Callithrix jacchus: one gene and its partners. The protein of the gene in region 2 interacts with the protein of the main gene of each other region in a biochemical or structural test. Links are inferred from orthologs where the notes say so. Each region holds a gene or a part of one and is shown on either strand. Other genes may lie near its edges.

Region 1 (4,249 bases), on a different chromosome or scaffold from region 2:
TAGGATACTTTCTTAGCATGTCATGGGGTTACCTGTCATCTTTCCTCTTTGGTTCCATTTATTTTATGGGGACATTTATGTGGAAAAATGCCTTTGCTTTTGTAATGGTATTAAATAAAGTCTGCACTCTTTTTATGTCAACTAATTTTTCCACTATTGTTATTATGTTACAAAGTACAAGCTACTTATAAACATGATTGGTTCAATGAGAACTTTTAGAGTATTGATAACCTAAATGTGGACATCTACATAATCATTAATTTTTACCACAATGCTATAAGGCAATATAAGCACAATTAGCCTCTGTGATCCCTGAACATAGCCTAATATCATTCACTCAATCAGCATCATACTGGAAATGATATGACCAATTATGGCAGGTAGTAGATGTCCAGTCACACTGGTATTACTTTTAGCCAGATGTCTCTTGTCCTTGTGAGTTCTTTTGGTCCTAAATGGTGAAATAGCAACAGAGCGAACCAACTCACCCACTCAAGGCAGATTTCTTATTTCTAGACTCGTCCTGAAACCAACAGATCCAGATCTCTCCTACCAAATACCATGAAATTTAAAGAAACAAAACTTACGGAATAAAGCAGCAGCAGCAACAACAATGAAATCTTAAAACAGTAAATATAAGTATCAAGCATCGAAACCCCCTCTCCAAACAATATCTCTCTTCTTCAATAAGGTTCCCAGAAGGTAATTCAATTTTTTAGCTGGTGTCCAATATTTGGGATCATTTCATTCAAGACTGAAGTACTTAAAATGGTTTTTTTTAAAAGGAAAAAAGTTAGATTTCCAGAGAAAAGTAAAAATTTTTAAGTTGAACATTATGAGGGATTTGATGGGGGCAGCTTTGCCAAGTAGAACTGGAGACTGGTCCACTGTTTAGGCTTTTTACAAAAGACTGCAAAGATTGTTTGTTTCCATACACGAAGTCACCAAGTTCACGGGCCCAAAGGCAAATGACTTGCACTAGGAACCCGAATAGTGCTGCTGTTAAATCATTTGCAAATGGGTGGGGCTGAGATGACACAGAACCCTGTTTTCCCAGGTAGCATCTCAAGTATAGTTGATTGCACCTTCAGCCCCACAATGAAAAGTATAGTGTAAACACAGCTAAGGGACTGCCTCCTTCAAATTACATACAAGGCACACCTACTAACAGGAGATGTTGTGAAAGCCAGGTGGGGCTTTGTCTTTCAAGTCCCTACATCCAAAAATAAGCATGTTCTGTACCAAAAAAAAATAGAAAAGAAAAAAAAAAGAAAAGCAAGCAAGGGTGATGCAACTGCATTCATTGTCCCTAAGGGGAGAACAGGCAATAACTGTCAGACCCAAGGATAAACAGAATCCCCCTTTAAGAAAAGATGTTGGCATTATGTTAGGATTGGGCACATGCCAGGATGATCACACTTTTTTACAAAAGAGAGAAAGAGAAAGAAAGTTAAGACCCATTTGTCTTATTTCAATCACTTTCTTCAGAATTAACAACTTTAATCAACAGGTTGCTTTCAGAGTATTGCTGGACATCTTGACTCTCTGCCATGAAATGCTATGGGAATTCTGACAGTTGAGAGCCAACGCCCCACTAGACACCAGTGCTGCATAACCACACTTTTAATAGACCCCAGAGCTGTGGTGACAGCATGCCCTTCCCAGTTTTTCCACAGACGGTGCTCCTGAAATTTTCCATAGTCAGTGTATTCTTGTGGTTAATTAGTTATCTGAGCAATTTCCATTATAGAAAGAGTATCTGTACATAATTAAACCCATCTTAGGATCAAACTGCCAGGCTTCAATGCCATTAATTCAGAGGGCCAAAATGAAAATGAGATAATTATCACCTGATGAAGGGACCTCACTAGGTTAGATCCTATCTTCTGAAATACATAGAACATTAAATTTAAAAAAGCAAGAGAGTTGAAAACAGGTGAGGGAAGAAACTGGAAAGGTAAGTTGCCTCTAGAGACCAAGGAATAACACTCCTTTTCAAATTATTATCAAGAAATCTTGGGGGAAAGATAAAATTAGCAAGAGAAGGCTATTAGCTGTTACTCACCTTTATGAAACCATTTTCAGGGATCGGTTTGTTAAATTCCACTGAAACGCGGAGGCACACAGCACAGCCCTTCTTCTGGGATGCACAGTCATGCCATACAGAAGTGTGTGGGTAGACGCCAAAACATGTGTGGACCTGCAACCCTTCCTGTAGAAACTCAGCATTCTGAGCAGTAACAAGGATTAACCTTGTGTGCTCATGGAGAAAACTGGTGGCTCCACACATCCAGTTGTCCTTCGGGTTATTTTTGCATCCAACTTTATAATTTCTTTTAATTACTTACTGTAAAGCACAGGAAAGTGCTCATTACTTGTAGCTTAATGCAAGTGGAAAAATAATTGAATATGTTCTCCTAGCCACTGCTCTACCCCAGCTCCCAGCTCTTCTGAAGTGTCACTGTTCATCTCAACAGCATGCGTAAGGCAGTTTCCAGGCCCTGTGCATAATGAGCCATGTGGACCCTATTCAAGAAACTGGCGGTCCTCCAGAACTACTATAAAATATAAGGAAAATATTAACATCTTAGATGACAAAAGATCCATATGGCTGGCCAGAAAATATCCGCATCATTTAAGCCATTAGAATGCACCTATATGGAAACATTCGATTTGGCGGTACTGTGAATAACAGGACTGTGAGAACATCTGTTTGTCTCCACCCATTTTCACTAAACACTTATTCCTATAGAAGACATGCAAACTCAAATGCCAACATATTTCATCTAAGCATAGGACAGGGACTCCATTTATACAAAGTTGCTATAATAAATACAATATAGTATTTGTTGGTGATAGGATTTTGGAAAATGCTCTGGGCAGCTGGAAAAATAAAATGTTTCTCTTTGTATTAAACTTGATTTAAAAATAGCTAACATTTATTAATGGTGAGGTAGATCATTTGATTATTCACTATTTATAGCTGAGGAAACTGAGAGTTTCAGAGCATTGTGGTGGATTCCCTAAGATCACAAACCCACTATGTGGTGGACGGAATATGAACCAGTGCTGGCTTGCTATGCCTCTTTCCATATGGGGTCAGACATGGATGTGGTATCTTATAATGTGAGGGTGGTCTGCTTGGCAGAGATATCCCACAGACCCTGTGTGTCAGTTTCTTATTTATTTAAACAAAGCCCCATATGATCATTTCTGATAAGCAGTTTGTTTACACACCAATTCCACAGAGGTTAAATATAACCCTAATGTTTCTTTGTTGCTACTCTGTTCCCCGTATTGAATTATTACCACAAGGTACCGACCATACACACATACTTAATAGGGCATCGTGTCAAAACTATGCATGAAGGTCATTTGTTTGAGATGTCAGAACTTTTTCCCCTGAGAAGATCTCTTTGAGTATTGAAACAGAGCCACATGCTTTTCAGACCAGCAACCACAACTACCAAATACTCCTCTGTCAACTCTACTTGAGTAAGAATGCTTTCAATTAAGGCCTAAGTGTCAACAGGCCATTAAAAAAAATCATGGTGACATAAAATCTTTCTTTTTGGCACCCAAACAGAATCCCTTCAAAACCTGGTGGTCTGACACACTATGCTACGTGACTTGTGACCCATCCGTTTGTCATGTTCTTCGGGAATGTGGCTGAGGGGCTGAGATGTGACTTGAAAAGAAAGGTAGAGCAAGGTAATCTCAGATTATCAAAGAGTAGTTCAGACAACTAGTTCAGACCACAGAGACAGCAAAGCAGGTGGTCTGGCATGGATAGAGCATCAGACATTCACCGACTATGCCAACAAGAGCCATCGAGTCAAAACAGCCAAAAGAAGGAGGGTCATGGAATGGGTTCTCTCACACGGAACTGATGCCCAGAGGCTCTTGGCATGAATAACAAAGGCAAACAGACCCACAAGCCATACTGAGTTGATACAAAACTGATACCTGAGCTGACATCCCAAATGATGGCACAAAAGACAGAACACCTTGCTTCTGGTCATTGTCAGCTCTGGGAAGAGAGGAGACTTTTAGAGGAGCAGCTGCAAGGAGCCTGAAAACAAAACTGGAAATGTCTGTTGTGAAAGGCTTCACAGGTATTATTAACAAAAGAAATGTGTATTTGTCAATGGTGTGTTGGCTAGGTTTTGTCAGTCCATTCTTATGCCCAGGTATGGCCTCTTGTGTAGACCGGATACAGTCATCAATGCAACTGTTCAGGTGCGACTGT
Region 2 (3,500 bases):
GACCCAACCAAACACAGTTCCTCTGCTTGTGGTTTTGCATGGGTTTTGCCATTGTGGGTACAAAAACTCATTAAACACTTGCAACAATTATGGTAATAATAATAATAGCCCTTTTATCATAAAATGCCCAAGCACCCTAGAGTAGTTATTAATACAGTGTATATCACATAACTGTTCAAAATTGTCCTTGCCCCTTAACTTGGCTTTGGCCCTGTGACTTGCTTTGGCCAATGGCAGATACACTGAAGAGACAGTCCAGTGCACCAGCTCTGAAGCTAGGCCTTAAGAAGACTCTCATATTTCCTATTGTCCTCTTTCACTCTGCACTTGTCATAACAAGCACATCTCCTGTGTAGCTGCGGCTTCATCACCCTGCATCCCACAATAGGTACATGCAAAATAAAACTACTCCACTGACTTATGGATCCATGACTAAACAATGGAGTTTTAAGCCACTGGGTTTGGAGATGGTTTATTGTATACATGACTTTGTCAACAGGTAAATGATAGACTGTATCTTCTCCCCACATGCAAAAGCGTCAGTTACTCACCGTCATCAATTCCAGGCCAACCCATGAAGTGAGCAGAAATCTGTTTCTCATCCTTCCCATACTCATTCTTGGCTATGAGAGTGTAGTCCCCATTGTTCATGTGAGTGGGATTATCCAACTGGAGGCAGCCGTGGTACTCCGTGTGATTGGTAACGTGTATTTTAGTACAGATGTATTTGGACTCATTCAATATTGCCCCGTTATAGAACCACTGAAGCGCTGGTTTGGGGTTGCCTTTCACAGTGAATGGAATGCACCAGTGGTGGTCTGAGGTTGGAGATTCGAGAAATGTGATAGTTGGTGCAACTAAATTGAAAAAGAGAGAGTTAATAGCATCAGAAAGCTCAGAATTCTCCCCATCGAGATGTCTTCATTGATAGGGAATTTTACTCAACTGTTATTTGGCTTAGAAAAACACATGACCAGAAACTCTGGAATCCATCAGTATTTTGTATCATCATCAGGGTGGATGTAACTCCCTGCAGAGAGCTTCAGAGCAACTCCTTCTACTGTTCTACTTAAGACCCATGCATTACAGTCATTTCTCAAATCTATTCAGTATAATTGAAAACCAGCTCCAAACAGATCCAAGAGATTTCTGAGAGTGGAAAGAATCCATTTGAAGTTGACTTTGGCTAATAGTATCTGTATCTTGATATTACATAGATTCATCACCAAAAATACCAAAAATCATAAAATAATGGATACTTTTTGATAGTACTTCTTTCCTAAATAAAACAAATAACAAAAATGACTCTTAAAATTTTACCTGAAGCCCTGATCTCACAAACTTCAAAAACAGATCAAACTGATCAATGTAATATATGTGCTGCTACTGATTAATTATTGTAAGTATAATAAATCATTATTTTTTACTGCTTGTCAATAGTAAATACCCTTTGAAAGTATCACATTTCATCAGAGTGTTGTCCATTTTTGCTAAGATCCCACATGCCAGTGTTTTGATCCTTTAAATGTTTGGGGTCCAATCTAAACCTGGACAGATTAGATATTATTTCAACTTTAAATATAAAGCACTTTATCCTTTGGGGAAACAAACATAATCAAGTACACTCTTTAAACAGAGTACTTATCCTGGGTGAAGATATTTAAAATCCTTCATCTGTTTATTTTAATGTAGTCTGACTTTGGTAATTACAAAATCAAGGACTAGAAAAGACCTTTGAGATCTAACAGCATCATTTTTTCAGATGAAGAAACCAAAGTGCAATGAGGTTAAGTGACCTCATCAAGGTTACTGAGCAAGGCAGATCTGGAACAAGAATCTTGTCTCCTAATGTTTAATCCAATGGCCCTTCCCTCTCATGCACTCCTTCCTGACTGCATGTGTTCATCAAACAAGAGGAGAAAAAATCTGAGACATCGTAGCCAGGGAACAGACAAGCACTCTGAGTGGGGTCTCTGCAATGGTTATCTTGGTTGCTACTGTTTTCTGTTTGTCTGTTTTCGTTTCTTTAGACTCGCTCTGTCACCCAGGCTGAAGTGCAGTGGCACAATCTCGGCTCACTGCAACCTCCGCCTCCCAGGTTCAAGTGATTCTCGTGCCTCAGCCTTCTGAGTAGCTGGGATTATAGGCGCCTGCCATCATGCCTGACCAATTTTAGTATTTTTAGTAGAGATGGGGTTGCACCATGTTTCCTAGGCTGGTCTTGAACTCCTGATCTCAAGTCAATCCACCCACCTCAGCCTCCCAAAGTGTTGGGATTACAGGCATGAGCCCCTGCACCCAGTCAGATGTTAATATTCTTTAACATGTATTGCTTCTGCTGTTTGTCTAAACTTTGACAGATAAAGTCAATTTTTCAGAGCCTAGTGACCATATAGATATTAACCTGAAACTGAGGAAAAAACTCAAGTTTGGATATTTTTAATAGAAAACAGGTAATCTGATATTACCCTCTTACTTGTATTCAGGTAAATCCTCCCACAATACTACCTAGAAAGAAGAAAAGCTGATAAAAGAGCCCAATTCACTTTCATAAATTTACAGAAAGATTTCCAGTTACCAGTGACATTCCTCTCAATTGAGCAAGTGTGCAGCTGAACTCTGCATATGTATGTTGTGACAGTGTCCTTCACTGTAAGAAATTCGACTTTACTAAACTTAAATTGGCAAAGTTTAATTGTTTGCTTTACCAAATATCTCTCACAGGCCTCCTTAAAATGGTCTTCAGAAAACAAAAGTTTTTAATATGTGATTTCATCTATAAAAATTCAATTTAAATATAATTTGGGGGAACCCTATATATACATATATATATATAAAACACAAAATAAGGTCCATACATGTGTAGATACACACACTCATAGACCTGTGTTATAAACCAATCACCACAAAGACCACAGTGGGGCAGAGGCCACACTTACCTTCCTCCCACCAGCCCAGGTCCCCACACCCAGGGCCCACTCATTCCTTCCACCATGCTCAAATGAATTTTGGGTTAGGTGCTGATTTAAGGACATATAGTTGGAAATGGTTGCAAACGTTTGGAGATAACATTGACTTCAGGCTTCTGAGTGGGTCAAAATGATGAGAAATTATGAGTTTAGTCCCCACTGGGCATAGTGGTGGTACTAACAGTGATAAAGGATTATAGCTGATGATTTCAATTGTTCACTCCAGCAATCACACACTGAATGTGTGCTATGAGTGAGTGTTAACCAGCATATTGGCACCAGCTATGGCCAGGGGTCTACACATGTGTAACTCATCCACACACTTACACACATGCACACTCATGTTTTTCTCATCTGAGTTCCAATCCAAATGGAGTAAAACCTCATTAATTTATACTATGCCAGGTCAGAATTTACAATGACATGAAGTGTCTATATAGTTTTTACTGAATATACATCATCATGCTAAAAGCCACAATTTGGAATTTCAAAATGTATATTGTATTAGTTATAATACTTAAGAACAGTGCA
Region 3 (4,286 bases), on a different chromosome or scaffold from region 2:
TGCTTCTCTAATCACAATAGGCTAGGCAAGCTCAAACTATGTCTTTGTATAAGGCTGCCCTCATTTTGACATGTAATATTAATTTTTTTAAACTTTCATTTTCTGCCAATTGTAAATACATTTCATTGAATCTCTGAAAAATAATGGTTTTGGTAAAATGATACATACCTTGGAAAACTAGCCACTTTAGACTCAAGGTCATTTGAATGGTTTTAGAAAATGCTACAGTTGTATGACAAAGAGCTAGCTTTACACTTAAAAAGAGAAAAGCAGCCAGGCGCAGTGGCTCACGCCTGTAATCCCAGCACTTTGGGAGGCGAGACAGGCGGATCACTAGGTCAGGAGTTCAACACCAGCCATGACCAACATGGTGAAACCCCCGTCTCTTAAAAAAAGAGAGAAAAGCTTCTGCTTTCAAGATTTTAGAGAAGAAAAATATCCATACAGTGGAGGTGAGAAAAGCCCACCATGACAATTTTCTAAGACCAAAAGAAACTACCTCCAGAAATGTGGCAATCCATTAAGAAGCAGGAAAATCTCAACACCTTGACTACCTTGTGCGGTTTGTGGCAAAAAAACCTTAAGAACAACGAAGGAACTTAACTGAAAACTGACACACTCTATAATAGTTGCATGCTTAACAGTTTTAACAATGCTTGGGTGACAGGTCAGGCCACCCTGGCTTAAAACTGTAAGAAACAGATGGGGCAGAGTGGCTCACGCCTGTAATACCAGAACTTTGGGAGGCTGAGGCGGGTGGATCATGAGGTGAGGAGTTCAAGACCAGCTTGGCCAATATGGTTGAAACCCCCATCTCTACTAAGAATACAAAAATTAGCCAAACATGAGCATGGTGGAGAAAAGATTTCTCCACAATGCTTCCACTTGTGATGGGGTACACCATAATCAATTCCAACACTTCAGATCAAGAATTTTCATGTAAAGCCCCATAAGACTCAACTGCATTAAACTGATGCAGAAAATCTGTCTACACATTCTCAGTTACTTGCAGAATTCATTCAACTAATTCAGAGACCAGATATGATATACAAGTTTTATATACTGATAATATGTATTAGTATATAGATTACAGTAGTTAGAAATATTAGTCTAGTGGAAACTAATATACACACTACAGTCTAAATAAAAAGAATCCCATCAAATAAGCTTGATGTAAATTCACATGAAAATCAAGGCTGCCAAAAAAAGGCATTTGTTAGTCAAGCATACCAAAGAACTGCTTAAAGCTTTTTTCCTTTTTAAGTGGTGCTCGAAACAGCTGATAGATCTCACAATTTGCCTTTTGAGCCTATAAGCTGAAAACAGAATAAAAGGCCTTCTCCCTTTATACAAGTAACAAAATCTCTCTATTCTGTACATTGCTTAATTTAAGATACTGTGCAAGTGTGGTTTTAATCTTCACAGCCCCCGCAATGACATTTAATTGGGAGCACGTATTTTCTTCGGAGGATTTAGCTGCTTATGAAAGGAAAATCTCTTTGTGTTTTTAACTATTTGTTTTATAGATATACGAGAAACCCTACTTTCCTAACTTTTTAACACACATAGAGATGAAGACTCCTAAGACAAGGTCATCTCAGCCATGACCAAAGACTAAGCTGCTGATTGAGGAAAGATGATATTTTAGAGAGGGTTAAAACGCTAACCTTCCTGATTCCCTGCCCGAAAAGATAGTATCATGGCCCCAATGGAGTGGGTACCGCAGGCCTCCTGGCCAGAAGGTTCTGTAGCCCCATATTCTCATGGCTTTCTGCTCCTCCTGGTTCAGCTCACAAAGCAAATGTCTCTGCCTCTGACTGGCCTTCCCTGAGCCCTGTCTCTAAGGCAGCCGGCACCTGTACTGGCTATGCAGTCGCCCCGTTAGGAAGTCGTTCTCTTCACATCACCCGTAACTGAATTCGCTTCTGTGTTTGATTGCCCTATTCGACTCTACGCTTCACTAAGACTACGATCTTGCCTGTACTGTTTAGCAAACACAATCTCCAGTGCCTAAGCGATGCCCAGTACAGAACAGGCTCGCCAACTCCTATCCAATAAATGAATGAACAGAAAGTGAGAAGGGGACTGTCATCCCTGGGACTCAACGCACAATGAGACTAGGAGAAAGGAAACGTGAAGGGGGTGAGTAACCTTTTTCCCCAGGGAGACAAAGGGAGAGAGTCTGAGGTGGTCCAATCCAGAAAAGGAAATAGTGGGGATGCTAAATCACCCCAGGGGACAAAGAGTGGACAGGCAGGGGGCGGGGTCAGGGTGCGAGGGATTCGCGCTTAGAGCACAGACCGGCGGCCCCCCGGCTTGAGAATTCACCAGGGCTGGAGAATAGGAGGGAGGTGGGGGATTGAAGGGGGCTCCAAGGCCACGACGAGAAACAGGCCCACCAGGGGGACAAAGAGAGCGGGAGGCGCAGTGCGTCGCTGTCCCATCGAATCCTTAAGCGGTAGGGGCGAGGCGGAGGCGAGACCCAGAGGGAGTCTGGGGCCTGGGAACCTGAGGGGGATGTTCCCGCGGCCTAAGCGAAGGGCCCGCCACGCTCCGGGGCGCTCCCGCACCTGGTAAATGGCCGCCCAGCTCCCGGACTTGTCGATCTGCTCGAACTCCTTTTCCATCTCCATGACGGGCCAGGGCGGCTGCTGTGCCTCCTTCTCAGCCCACTGTGCTGTCTGCCGCTCCAAGCCGTGTCGCGCTCTTAGCCCCGAGGCCCGCTGCAAGCCCCAACTCCTGCCGCTACCGCCGCCCTAGCCGCCGCTGCTTCTTCATGTCAACCGGCAGCCGGAACTACGCACCGCGCCTGCCAGGGGCTCCGCCCCTGAAGCATAAGGACCAATCAACGATCGAGAATGTCGACAAGCACTTCCGCGGGGAGGAGTCGGGGGAGGTGCTAGGGGAAGTAGCCATAGCACCGCGAGACGTCTAATAGCTCGCGCTCCCTCCTCCCTTCGGGGGGCTCTGGGCTCGGGCGTGGCTCTCGCGGGTTGCCTAGGCGATCCCGGGAGCCCCGCCCATGGCGCGTGGGCTCGCCAGGCCCGGGAGGTCCTTGAGTTCCAGCCTCCACCTTGCCCTTTGAGTCACAGAGTGAGTGGCCTTAAAGTAGTCATGCACTTTTCCTGCAGCGCCAGAGCCCTGGCCTCAGTAATCCAAGCTAGAGTATGGGAGGAGTAAACCGTGATCCACTTCCTGCCTCCCAGCTCTGGCCAGATGTCTGCCCTCTTTTCATGAAACTCAGGAGTGTCGTGGTTCACCAGGCTGCTGGGGAAGCCCACTACTCTAAGGGTAGTGCCCTGTCTGAAACGCAGAATTTCCATTTGGGTGCTGCAGGAATGAATGGATGGAGTACTGAAATGATTTTTTTCTTTTCTTTTTTTTACTGGAATGATTTTCTTTCTTTTTTTTTTCTTCAGAGACGGAGTTTCACCATGTTGGCCAGGATGGTCTCGACCTCTCGACCTCGTGATCCGCGCGCCTCGGCCTCCCAAAGTGCTGGGATTACAGGTGTGAGCCACCGCACCTGGCCTACTGGAATGATTTTAAATGTTTTCCAGAGTATCAGGGAACTCCTACTCAGACTGAACGAGGCAGAGCACAAATTTCCTGGTGCATTATGTTAAATAAAAATCATAAGAGTCCAGGCGCGGTGGTTCACGTCCGTAATCCCAGCATTTTGGGAGGCAGAGGTGGGCAGATGCCTTGAGACCAGGGGTTCCAGAGCAGTCTGGGTAACATAATGAGACCTTGTCACTACTAAAAGCTAAAAAAATTAGCCGATGTGGTAGGGCCAGCTGCTGGGGAGGCTAAGGCAGGAAGGTCACCTGGGTCCAGGAGGTGGCAGCTGTGGTGAGCTCTGATGGCGCCACTGCACTCCACCCTGGGTGACAGAGTGAGACCCTGTCTTAAAAAAAGAGAAAAAAAAAAAAGCTGGTCGCGGTGGCTCATGCCTGTAATCCCAATACTTTGGGAGGTCAAGGCAGGTGGATCACAGGATCAGGAGTTCAAGACCAACCTGGCCAACATAGTGAAACCGCGTCTCTACTAAAAATACCAAAAAAAATTAATGGGCGTGGTGGCGGGCGTGTGTAATCTCAGCTACTTCAGAGGCTGAGGCAGAGAATTGCTTGAACCTGGGAGGCGCAGGTTGCAATGAGCCGAGATAGCTCCACTGCACTCCAGCCTGGGCAATGAAAGCGAAACTCCATCTCAAAAAAAAAAAAAGTTCCGCACTAGGGTCTCAACAGACTAGACTAAAAATTAAAATGGTGTCACTGATGCTA

The links.
Region 1: the proteins of NTRK2 (region 2) and BDNF form a complex in vitro, tested with the Homo sapiens proteins (3 studies listed by BioGRID). The link is inferred for Callithrix jacchus from reciprocal best matches to the Homo sapiens genes NTRK2 and BDNF.
Region 3: the proteins of NTRK2 (region 2) and PTPN1 form a complex in vitro, tested with the Homo sapiens proteins (2 studies listed by BioGRID, with this or other methods). The link is inferred for Callithrix jacchus from reciprocal best matches to the Homo sapiens genes NTRK2 and PTPN1.

Annotation. Positions count from the first base shown.
Region 1 is NC_133511.1:93,064,347-93,068,595, forward strand, and holds the start of BDNF (neurotrophic factor BDNF precursor form), read right to left. Parts: upstream 2,801-4,249; 5' UTR 2,291-2,800; coding exon 2,066-2,290; intron 1-2,065. UniProt on the Homo sapiens protein: Important signaling molecule that activates signaling cascades downstream of NTRK2. During development, promotes the survival and differentiation of selected neuronal populations of the peripheral and central nervous systems.
Region 2 is NC_133502.1:98,299,902-98,303,401, forward strand, and holds part of NTRK2 (BDNF/NT-3 growth factors receptor), read right to left. Parts: intron 858-3,500; coding exon 552-857; intron 1-551. UniProt on the Homo sapiens protein: Receptor tyrosine kinase involved in the development and the maturation of the central and the peripheral nervous systems through regulation of neuron survival, proliferation, migration, differentiation, and synapse formation and plasticity.
Region 3 is NC_133506.1:46,046,775-46,051,060, reverse strand, and holds the start of PTPN1 (tyrosine-protein phosphatase non-receptor type 1), read right to left. Parts: upstream 2,801-4,286; 5' UTR 2,634-2,800; coding exon 2,571-2,633; intron 1-2,570. UniProt on the Homo sapiens protein: Tyrosine-protein phosphatase which acts as a regulator of endoplasmic reticulum unfolded protein response. Mediates dephosphorylation of EIF2AK3/PERK; inactivating the protein kinase activity of EIF2AK3/PERK.